Xenopus tropicalis: one gene and its partners. The protein of the gene in region 3 purifies or fractionates together with the protein of the main gene of each other region. This does not show direct contact. Links are inferred from orthologs where the notes say so. Each region holds a gene or a part of one and is shown on either strand. Other genes may lie near its edges. The genes, in order: pabpc4, lsm12 and atxn2.

Region 1 (3,653 bases), on a different chromosome or scaffold from region 3:
AGGGTATGCCATATGGTTCCTCAGTGACCTGCTTCAATACCTGATTATTACGTGCCGCAGTCTTCACTTCACTGGAGCATTGTAGCACAAAGGGCAACAATACCAAGGAATGTAAAGTTAGCAAATGAATTTGTCTTTTATATCAACCTCTACACTGTGTTGCATTAATGCATAAGGCTGGAACAATAACAGGAGGCACACGGTTATCCCTGATGCTGTTTTTTGTTTGTATTTTATTAAAGCATCATGTACTGCAGTACACTGCAGTTTAGGCTGAGCTAATCTCAGTTTTCAAATATAGACACAGATGCTTCTCTGAATTGAGCTGAGAGCTTTGACTGAGCCTTTTGTATCTCAATCACTTTTTTTGTTGTTATCTAGTAATGATTATAAAAACGTATTCCCAAAATGTAGTAGGCTGTAAAATTATTTTGTTGTGAGGCCCAGTAACTTGTATGCCACTGTTGGTAGAATGTTGGTAGAATGTTGGTAGAATCATGCTGATTTTTATCAGCAGATGCTTGGCTACAGAAGGAAAACTTAAGCTGGCCTGTATGGCAAGTCGGCGAATCGACAGATATCGCAGGAGGCTGCTGATATCGGTCGACACACTGATCGTGCAGTTAAAAGATTTTGATTGGGCGCCATAGAAGGTGCCTGAGCAAAATCTGCCTTCAGGGCTGAATCGGCAGAAGGAGGTAGAAATCCTATTGTTTCTACCTCCTTATCTGCCGTTTCAGCCCTGAATGTTAGTGGCGGATTGAACGATCGTTCGTGCAACCGATGGTCGCACGAAAGATCGCAAATCGCCACGTGTGTGGCCACCTTTATTCAAGATACAGTCATATACGGCAAGATAACCTAGTTCTGTTTAAAAAAAAACAAAAAAAACAGGCTAAATTAGAACTGGAGCTGTTCAACAATTAAAAGGTAAAGGGCAGATTTATCAAAATGTGACTTTAGATCAGGGGTCCTCAAGCTTTTTAAGGAGAGGGCCAGTTCATGGTCCCACAGACTGTTGGGGGGCCGGAATAAAGTCCTCCCCCCGTGTCCTCATACTACGGTCCGCTCCCCCATGCGTCCTCGCGTCAGATCATAATGGGGGCCGGGTAAATTACCTTGGGGGGCCGTAGTTTGAGGATGCCTGCTTTAGCTCTTAATACATAAACTCAATCATGTTATATTCTTTCCTATGGGATTTTTAGAAGTGTATTTATCAATGGGTATTGGACCCTTTATCCAGAAAGTTCCGAATTACGGAAAGCCAACTCCCATAGACTCCATTTTGATCAAATAATTCACATTTTTAAAAATGATTTCCTTTTTCTCTGAATAATAAAACAGTACCTTGTACTTGATCCCAACTAAGGTATAATTTATCCTTATTGGAGGCAAAACAATCCTATTGGATTTAATTACTGTTTAAATATTTTTTTTTTAGCATACTTTAGGTAGGAGATATGAATTACGGAAAGACCCCTTATCTGGGAAAACTCCAGGTCCTGAGCATTCTGGATAATGAGTTCCATACCTGTACTAGTTAAAAACGTTAACATAAAAAAAACAAACAGATTTTAAGTTGGGTATTCCTTTGCTCATGGACTTTAGTACGCTTAAAAAGTGTCTAGATTTCTTCATAAAGCACTGAAAACTCACTCTTTCTGCTGTGCAGTGCAGAGAAAGGAAACAAAGTGCTAGAGAAACGCAGAGGAAATCCAGACGGAGCATGTTTTTAACTTTATGTTCTGTCCCTACACCTCAGCCACATGCAGCTGTGTTGCTTTTAAAATCTAATGAACAAATGTGCTTTTACAACTGTGATTATCTGGCTTTAAAGGAACAGTAACACCAAAAAATGTATATATTTCAAAGAAATTAAACTATAATGTACTGCTGCCCTGCACTGGTAAAAGTTTTGTGTTTGCTTCAGAAACACTACTAGAGTTTATATAAACCCTGGTGTGTAGCCATGGGGGCAGCCATTCAAAAGAAGAAAAGGCACAGGTTATATAGCAGCTAACAGATAAACCCTGTAGAATACAATGGTGTCTTATCTGTTATCTGCTATGTAACCTGTGCCTTTTCTCCTTTTTTCCAGTTTGAATGGCTGCCCCCATGGCTACACAGCAGTTTATTTATATAAACTATAGTAGTGTTCCTGAAGCAAACAGCCCAGTTTTACCAGTGCAGGGCCACGGTACATTATATTTCAATTACTTTAAAACACTTTCATTTTTTGGTGTTACTGTTCCTTTAAGCAAATGATCCTTCTGCTAACATTCAAAGCCCTCCACTCCTCTGCTCCTCACTACATTTCTTCACTTTAATTTCCCCTTTATTTGTTTGCAGAAAAATAAACCTGGCCTTGCAAGCTGCCAATTTGGCCCCTTTAGACTGGGTCTGCAGGTTTTCCGCCCGTGTATTATACCCTCCATTAAAAATCAACTGGATATCAATTAGAAAGGTTTTAAAATCCCCTAGAATGGGAACTGTATTGGGGCATTGATGCCGACCACTCCCAAAGGGCCTGTTATGATCTGATGTGTGACCTGGGAGCCAAACAATTGGATTGGCCCGATTTGGTCAAGAACGTACGTGGCCAAATTGAGCAAAGATGTGCTGGTTTGGTAAGGTTGTCATGTATGCCACCATAGTGGGTTAGTAATTTTGATTTGAAGATAGATTGTTACTGTTTTGGGGTTCTGCAGACTGACTGAGGTGATTTTGTTTGAACCACTGGGAGAACACAGAGCAGATATGATAGTGTTGTATTTTCTTTGCAGCTGAACGTGCTTTGGATACTATGAATTTTGATGTTATTAAAGGAAAACCCATACGTATTATGTGGTCTCAGCGGGACCCGTCCTTGAGGAAATCTGGAGTTGGCAATGTTTTCATAAAGAACCTAGACAAATCAATTGACAATAAAGCACTATATGACACTTTTTCTGCATTTGGAAATATCCTTTCTTGTAAGGTGAGATTTTTTCCACCTTTCCACCCTTCATGTGCTCCCTTATTAAAAGGGTATTAAAGACTTTCTCTTTTGTAGGTAGTGTGTGATGAGAATGGTTCCAAGGGTTATGCTTTTGTGCACTTTGAGACTCAGGATGCTGCAGATCGAGCCATAGAAAAGATGAATGGCATGCTGCTCAACGACCGCAAAGTGTGAGAGGCACTATATTCAGGGTGTGAGCAAAGCAAATGGCTGTGTACTGGATTGGGGAAGAATATTTATTTAAAGGGAAGATAGACAGATTTGCATTTATTTATGGGGGGAAAAAATTGGGATTTAAAAAAGTAAAACATTTGGAAAGGTATGTGTATTAACAAAGAGGGTAAATTGTAAATGGGAAATCTGGAAGGAGGGTAGTATATTCAGGGTGTGAGTGAAGCAAATGGCGTTGTACTGGATTGGGGCACAATATTTATTGAAAGGAAATATAGACAGATTTTGCATGGGGAACAAAATTGAGACGTAAAAAAAAATTTATGGATGGGTATGTGCATTAGCAAAGAGGGTAGGTTGTAAATGGGAAATCGGGGAGGTGTGTACAAGAGAAGGTTTTAAAGGAAGTGTTTTCCCTTGCAGGTTCGTTGGGAGGTTTAAATGCCGTAGAGAACGAGAAGCAGAGCTTGGAGCCAAAGCCAAG
Region 2 (4,306 bases), on a different chromosome or scaffold from region 3:
TGTTCTGGGTATAGTTTTCCTTTAAAGGAGAAGAAAAGGTAAAATCACCAGGGGTTGTCAAATGTCAGGTACCACCCAGTGATTATAATCACTTACCTGGTATGATACCCTGGGCTGTTGCTCCTGTCAGCAGAAAACTGCACGCGTCTCTGAGTGAAGTGATCTTTTTCTTGATTCTTCCTTCTTTGTGTCATGTGTGTGTGTGCAGTTGATAATAAGTCAAACTTTAAGCAAAAAGTCTGCTTTTTGACCCCACTGGGCATGTGTTGACCCAGGGCTATTGAAGAATCAAGAAGAAAAAAGATGATTGCTCTGTGGTGCTCACTCAGAAGTACCAAGTGTCAGTGTAGTTTTCTGCCAACAGGAGCACTGGCCTGGGTATCAGGTGATTAAAATCACTGGGTGGGGGTACCTGACATTTCCTTCTCCTTTGAATTACTATTATATGCCCAACGTAAATTCTGGACTCCTTGTATTCACTATGGTCTTTACACAGACAGGGCAATGATGTATAGGTGGCATTTTATTCATTTCATGGTTTACTTTTGTGAAATTTATATCTGAACAGCAGTCTGTGGTGTTATCTTAGCATGATACAGTGGGCCTGGGCTGCATGGTCTGCTTTCTCCAATGTGGCATTTTATTCTCTGCTCACCAATGGCTCCCAAGTAGGAGTGGGGATTTACAGTATATGCAGGGCAGGGAGATGGAGGTGGGAAGGGGGCACCGGGCCCAATTTGTTCCCAATGTTATTCATTTTTACTACAAAGTTTGTACAAATTTGGTACAGTTTTACCAATGATAAAGAGATAGTGACAATTAAAGAGAAAAAAAAAACAGTTGAAATGCCATCCTGAATTTCAGCAGTATAGTAATACATTTCCTGGCCAGGCTTACCGATACCGATGTTATTCATTTTTACTATAAAGCTTGTACATATTGGTACAGTCTTTGCAAAGAGAGAGAAATGATTACAATGTCTTTCTTTAAAGCACTGGAATTTCAGCAGTACAGTGGCCTAGCCAGGGTTTTAGTGGAAAGCAGGCTGCACCTTAACTATCAGCAACTCAAACTGTATATATGTGTCTCAGAGAATTCAAACAGTACTGCTTTTAATTGCAGTTAAGTTTATAAACATTTTACTGCGTTATCAAGCGATTCAATCGCTTTGACAAGGTAACGTTTTTCCAATTACGGCGAAGGTCAACGTTTATGAATTTTATTAGCGTATCAATTCCCCTTTCAAGATGGAGGCAACAACCTACTCCTTTGTGGGCGTGGTAATGCCAAATCCTCTATTAACATGAAGACGCCCCACCAAAGATGGACGGAAATAGCGTGCTCTTTGGTAGGCGTGGTAACGCCGCGTCTCCTAGGCGATTTCCCAGCAGGCCAGAGTTTGACGCTGGCTTTTTAAGAATACGTGCTGAGGTCGTGTTGCTGTAGCACGTTACGCAGGCCGGCTGGAAGATGGCGGGTCCGGGGGAATACTTCGCCATTGGCGCCTATGTTTCATGCCGGACCTGCCAAGAGACGAGACTGCAGGGCGAGGTGGTTGCCTTTGACTACCCAAGCAAAATGCTGGCGCTCAGTATCCTTTATAGCGAGAAAGCGACGGATAATGTATAGGGAGCTAATCGGTGGGGGATGGGTACGAAGTGGGGGGAAGGGAGGGGCTGCCGAGAAAATGGAGTGAGGGAGCGGAAGGTTATGAAGGGGGAAAGGTGAGTGGGCTAGGAGAGACTGACAGGTGCTGGCTATTACATCGTATAATACGTATGGCAGTCCGCTGGCCCGATGGGAGAAGGGGAAGCGAGCGGTGGGGTTTGAATGGAGGAGGCGAGAGTGGGCTGTTTATGGGGACTCGGCATGTTTCTCTGGGAGGCGGAAGTAAGGCTGTCGGGGTGGCCTTGAAGGGTATAAGGGATGCTGGGGTGGGGGTTCTTATCAGGTGTTTGTGAGGGGATTGGGTGGGATGGGTGCTAGGTGTGGGCAGGGGATTTCAGTTTGTATGGAGAGTTGCCTGTGGGTGAGTAGGTATCACTGTGTCTGGGTGTAGGTGGTGTTTGTGGGTGGTGCTGTGTGACTGGGGGGCTTACTTGGCTGGCCGTTTCTTGTTTACTGGGTAGCAGTTGTTCTGGGGGGGTGTTTGGGGTATCGTGCTTTCAAAACGTGGTTTGAGGTGAGTCAGGGTGGGCAGTTCATGAGCTAGCATGTATGAGGTTGTGAGTAATATACGGTACACTGCAATGGCAGTCTAGCTAGTTACTATAGGGGGTTCACTGCTGCTCCAGTTGGCATTGATTGGAACATGCTGTTGTTGCATGTTCTAGGGGGATAGGTGATATGTTGGGGTTGGTCAGTTTGACAGCCTGATGTGCGAGTTGGGGTCAGATGTGACCAGAATTTAAACCCAGTCTCTGAACTGCTTCTGTGGTGAAAGCACACAAGAGGGGATTGGCATGGAGAAAATGATCAGTGCAGCATCTTTGCCCCATAAGCAGAATATTTAGAATTGCTTCCAGCATGAAAATACTACCAGGATACTTTGCTGGGTCCTGAAAGATCCTATGCCGGACACACTAACTTGTAGGCCAAGGTCCAATGGATGAGAATGCAGATCTTAACAGGTTCTTGATAGTTTTTGGGATGTATAAGGGTGAAGACACACTGAACTACTTAATAGCAGTTACTTGTCATGGCTACAAAACTCCAGAAAACAACCTGCCATAGACAATACTGAGAATTGCCTGTGCTAAAACACACACAGATAATTATCAGTAAACAATCAGCATTGTCTGTTAGTAGCCACGACAAGTAGCTGCTACTAGTATTTTCACCCTAAGGGCTGTGACAGTCGCCGCACGACAAATCTCCCCGAAATGCCATCCCATCGCCGGTGGGATGGCATACGTGACACGGTGATTTGCCAAAGTTGCCTTGAGAGGAAACTTCGGCGATTTCGGTGTTGCGTATGCCATCCCACCAGAAATTTACATTCTAGCCGGTGGGATGGCATTTTGGGGAGATTAGTCGCCTGCAACAAATCTCCCCGAAATGCCATCCCACTGGGAGTAGATGTATAATTCCGGGGGGGTGGCATACGCGGCACCTTGAGAGGAAACTTCCGTGATTTTGGGGAAATCGCAGCGCCACGTGTGCCATCCCGCTGGCGATTTACATTTTCGCCCGGTAGGATGGCATTTCGAGGGAGATCAGTCGTGCGGCACAACTAATCTTCCCGTGTGCCACAGTTCTAAAGGTCTCCCATACACAGGCCGATTATAGCTGCCGATAACGGTCCCTTGGACCGATTCGACAGCTTATCGGCCCGTGTAGGGGCAGAACTGAGGGGCCTGGCCGACCGATATCTGGCCTGAAATTGGCCAGATATCGATCTGCCAGGTAAGAAAATCCAGTCGGATCGGGGACTGGGTCGGCTTGTTGATGCGGTCCCCAAACCCACTGCCCCATTGCCGCATGTAGAATTCGATTGTTTGGCCCCAGGGCCAAACGATCGAATTTGCCTACATGCCTCCCCGATATCGCCCACCCGTAGGTGGGGATATCGGGTGAAGATCCGCTCGCTTGGCGACATCGCCAAGCGAGCGGATCTGCCCGTGTATGGCCAGCTTTAGGCTTCTCCAAATCTAAACTGTTTAACCCAAGGGATGCTGGTATGACTAGGGGATATGTAAATGACTGTGAGTATGAAAGGTGAGCTGTTTAGGAGTGAAATCAGGTGATTGTGCTGACTAGAGGTGGATTTATTGTTCCCTAAAGGTGGCCATACACGCACCGATATTATCGTACGAAACCTCGTTTCGTACGATAATCGGTGTGTGTATGGCATGTCGGCGAGTCGACCGATATCGCAGGAAGCTGCCGATATCGGACGACTCGCCGATCGGACAAGTTTGAAAATTTTGATCGGGCGCCATAGAAGGCGCCTGACCAAAATTCTCCCTTCAGAGCTGAATCGGCAGAAGGAGGTAGAAATCCTATTGTTTCTACCTCCTTACCTGCCGATTCAGCCCTGAATGGTGTGTGGCGGATCTTACGATGTTTCGTGCGACCGATGGTCGTACGAAACATCGTCGGATCGCCACGTGTATGGCCACCTTTAGTCTCCTGATAAATAGCTGATTTTGCTATGATGTTTCACCCCTAAACAGCTCACCATTCATGCATTTGAACCAAATAGATTACTCCGTTTATAATTGTTAGCTGATTAGGAACACAGACCGAGATAGCAGACCTGTAGAAGACATAATTTCTTTTTTTACCCGTGAGCCGATCAACTGAC
Region 3 (3,653 bases):
TATTCTAGACCAAACGTGCCAGTCACCAGTGACATTAGCCACTGAACACTGGCTGTTACTTCACAGTGCTGCCAACTGAACCGAGTCTGCCCATGCTGGATGGACAAATCAGACTGAATAGAGGTGGGGGAGGACCTGTGCAGTCCCACTGGATGCAAACTTTATCTATAGGCCAAAGCTGTCCTCAACTAATCAGTTGCACTTGATAACATTGTTTTGGGCCCATACACAGTCCAGACAGACTACTAATATGAGAAAGGAGTGCAGTCAGCTGCTTATTTATAAGAATGTTTATACAGTGTTAGATTTTTTGTTTTGTTTAAAAAGCAAAAAAAAAAAAAAGAAGAAGTGGGGCTGGGTGTAATAATATATATGCATTAAACATACACCTTAGTCTGTCAGTCTAATTTTAAGGAACAAATCTTAAACTGAGATTGTGATCTGTGACCTGAAGTATTAAGTAACCACATTTTAACATTTTGCCTTTTACAAGAAGGACACCTTTAAAGCAACTCTGTTATCTAATAGAACTATGCACAATTTAAAAGTGCACAAACAAGTACCTACATAGCATATTATGCATTGCCCTGGCAACTATTTATAAAGGCAATTGTCAGGGAAATTAAAGGCAAAGCAATACAGCACAGCAGCTGTAGGTGGCTGGGTCAATAAATGATGCCTCCCAATCGCCTACATTATTGTTTTTGTGAATGGCCCTGGCCTCCCGAGAGCGCTTTGCATAGTTTTTGAAGGATTCGTTATGCTGTATACTCAAAGCAAGACAAAATGAATGAATAAAATATGGTTAAGCTTAATAACTTAAAGTCATATGACTTACATTAAGTTACTAAGCTTAACCATATTTTATTCATAAATTTTTATTAGGTTTTTTCAAAATGGGAGGTGAGGCTTATTGACAAGGAATGTATATATGACAATCAAAACACAGCTATAACTAAAATAGGAGCCATTTAGCCATATGCTAAAGACAAAAGGTGGGGGATGAGATTACAGCAAGCAAGTCCAAAGTCAGTAAAATTCTCTAATAACTACAGGTAGAATAAAAAAAAATTACCTACATACAGCCGTCTGTACAGACCGTCAGGTCATATTTTGGGACAGCTTTGCAATTTGGACCAGACTGTGCATGTAAGTCAGATGATGCTCGACATCAGAGCTTGGACTGGGCCACTGTAGGATATCCACTTTTCTGTGTGTAGCACCACAGAAAAATAGAGGATTTCTTACCAATTTAGGCCAATTGCATATTTGTAAGATTGTCCCCTCAAGAAAAACAAAAAAAAAAAAAAAAAAAAAAAAAAAAACACACAACTTCAAATGCCTGTAGCTGCCAACAGCCACTTCAACAAGAAATATGCTGCCTATGGCATTTTCTTGTGTATGAGCCCAAAATCATGTTCTTCCTTATAAATAAGCATGGTCTGGGACCATGCTTATTTATAAGGAAAATACAACAAATGGAAGCCTTAAACAGGAGGAAAAATTAATAAAAAAAACCAAACAACAACAAATTGCAGATAAGGTTTCTTTTAAAAAAAAAACAAAAAAAAAAAACCTCTTAAATTCCAGGTACTGCTATTTTTTTTTTTTTTTTAAAGTGATACTGACACTAAAAAACTAGACTTCAAAAAATTAATGTACATTTAAAGTTACCTATGGGTCATTTTGATCATTTTTCACCGATAGATTTGCTTTTGTAATTAATGGCTACTTGACGTTCCTAAACCTGACTGTCCCTTCTCAGCCTGTCAGTTATAGCTTCTAATGCTAACGGACTCCTGAGCATTAATATGGCAGCCCCTAATACAGAAATGTGGGAGGGAGGGGAATCTGATTAGTAATGAAAAAGCAGTAGGAAAACAATTTTACGGCAAAATTCTAATTTAAAAAAAATAAATAAAAATAAAAATTCAGTCAGTATCCCTTTAAGGTAATTGGATGAAACATGCCTTACATTTTGCATTTTAGTTTTAAAGCCATTTTTGGCTCAAAAATTAAGGGTTGTCAAAAAGAGCCACAGAAAACCAAAGGAGAAGATGAAATGGGATTATAAATGTTTTGATATTTACCCATCACAACAGCATGAATCTAGACCTATCATGCTCTCATCTTATAGATGGAAGACATGGTTTCCCTATGCTGTAGGCATGATGGAACTGACAATACAAAGGGGAAAAAAATAAAAAAAATAAAACAGAGGTGTTGTACCTTCTGAAGACATGCGTTTAGGCATAGTAGAGACAGGAGCTGGAGAACCATGAGCAGAGGGGTGAGACGGGGGCCTGGATGGCCGCGAAGGGGGCCTGGAGGGCGGCCTTGTAGGGGTGGCTGCCCGAGGTGGAAGAGAGTTGGGACCTGACTGGTAGCGAGAAGGTGGGCGGGAAGAAGGAGATGGACAAGGCGATGGCCAGGGAACACCTGACAGAACAAATGAGATGAAGGAAAAGTAATAATAAAAGAAAGTAAAAAAAAAAATAATGAGATGAAGGGGTAGGGAACAAGTCAACAGAAAAAAAGTAAAATACAACAGAGGGGAAATGGTTTCTCGCACGTCTTAAGAGAAGCAAAAGATATTTTATGCTACAAAAAGACTCATATTTCACACAGTTTATGCACCATAATTAAGATAAAATGTACATTAATTTACACAAAAGGTTACTTTAAATTGACCCTTTTTCAATTACTTTCTCCCCTTTTAGTTTAACTTTCAATGCCACTTTCTTCCTAGGGAAGACCAGCATGTGTATGTATTTCTTAAATCAAAAGGAAATAGCATATCAAATCATGTTATAGCTACCACCCTAAATAAAAACACTTACCATTCAACAGTATACTACTTAAACAGTACATTTGTAAATGTACTAAAAAATATTTTTTAAAAACCTTGATCAGCTAATGAATTACTTGCCTCCATTTATGACTCTCTGATCAGCTCCAGCATTGGGGCTGTAGTCAGAAGAATGGGATCCTGTCCTTGAAGGAATGGGCCCTGATCCAGACTGTCCAATCCTTGCAGAAGTTTGCCTCCCACTGTGAGTTGTCCATAACATGGCATCTTTATTCCTCTGCACTGGTGGAATGTACTTGTTTTCTCTACAAAACCATCATAGAAAAATATAATATATATATATAAAAATATAATATAAAATATAATATTATATATATTTATATATATATAAAAATATAATATAAAATATAATATTATATATATTTATATATAATATTATATATATTTATATATAATATTATATATATTTATATATAATATTATATATATTTATATATATATATAAAAATATAATATAAAATATAATATTATATATATTTATATATAATATTATATATATTTATATATAATATTATATATATTTATATATAATATTATATATATTTATATATAATATTATATATATTTATATATAATATTATATATATTTATATATAATATTATATATATATATATATATATATATATATATATATATATATATATATATTATATATATATATATATATATATATATATATATATATATATATATATATATATATATATATATATATATATATATATATATATATATATAATATTATATTATATATATATATATTTATATATTTATATCCGGCAT

Evidence for each region.
Region 1: the proteins of atxn2 (region 3) and pabpc4 purify together in Homo sapiens (affinity purification with mass spectrometry; 4 studies listed by BioGRID and IntAct, with this or other methods). This does not show direct contact. The link is inferred for Xenopus tropicalis from reciprocal best matches to the Homo sapiens genes ATXN2 and PABPC4.
Region 2: the proteins of atxn2 (region 3) and lsm12 purify together in Homo sapiens (affinity purification with mass spectrometry; 4 studies listed by BioGRID and IntAct, with this or other methods). This does not show direct contact. The link is inferred for Xenopus tropicalis from reciprocal best matches to the Homo sapiens genes ATXN2 and LSM12.

Annotation. Positions count from the first base shown.
Region 1 is NC_030678.2:91,027,649-91,031,301, forward strand, and holds part of pabpc4 (polyadenylate-binding protein 4), read left to right. Parts: intron 1-1,641; exon of another isoform or gene 1,642-1,770; intron 1,771-2,783; coding exon 2,784-2,977; intron 2,978-3,052; coding exon 3,053-3,168; intron 3,169-3,592; coding exon 3,593-3,653.
Region 2 is NC_030686.2:18,356,778-18,361,083, reverse strand, and holds the start of lsm12 (protein LSM12 homolog), read left to right. Parts: upstream 1-1,353; 5' UTR 1,354-1,470; coding exon 1,471-1,591; intron 1,592-4,306. UniProt on the Homo sapiens protein: Nicotinic acid adenine dinucleotide phosphate (NAADP) binding protein. Confers NAADP sensitivity to the two pore channel complex (TPCs) by acting as TPC accessory protein necessary for NAADP-evoked Ca(2+) release.
Region 3 is NC_030677.2:163,120,694-163,124,346, reverse strand, and holds part of atxn2 (ataxin-2), read right to left. Parts: intron 3,115-3,653; coding exon 2,930-3,114; intron 2,440-2,929; coding exon 2,230-2,439; intron 1-2,229. UniProt on the Homo sapiens protein: Involved in EGFR trafficking, acting as negative regulator of endocytic EGFR internalization at the plasma membrane.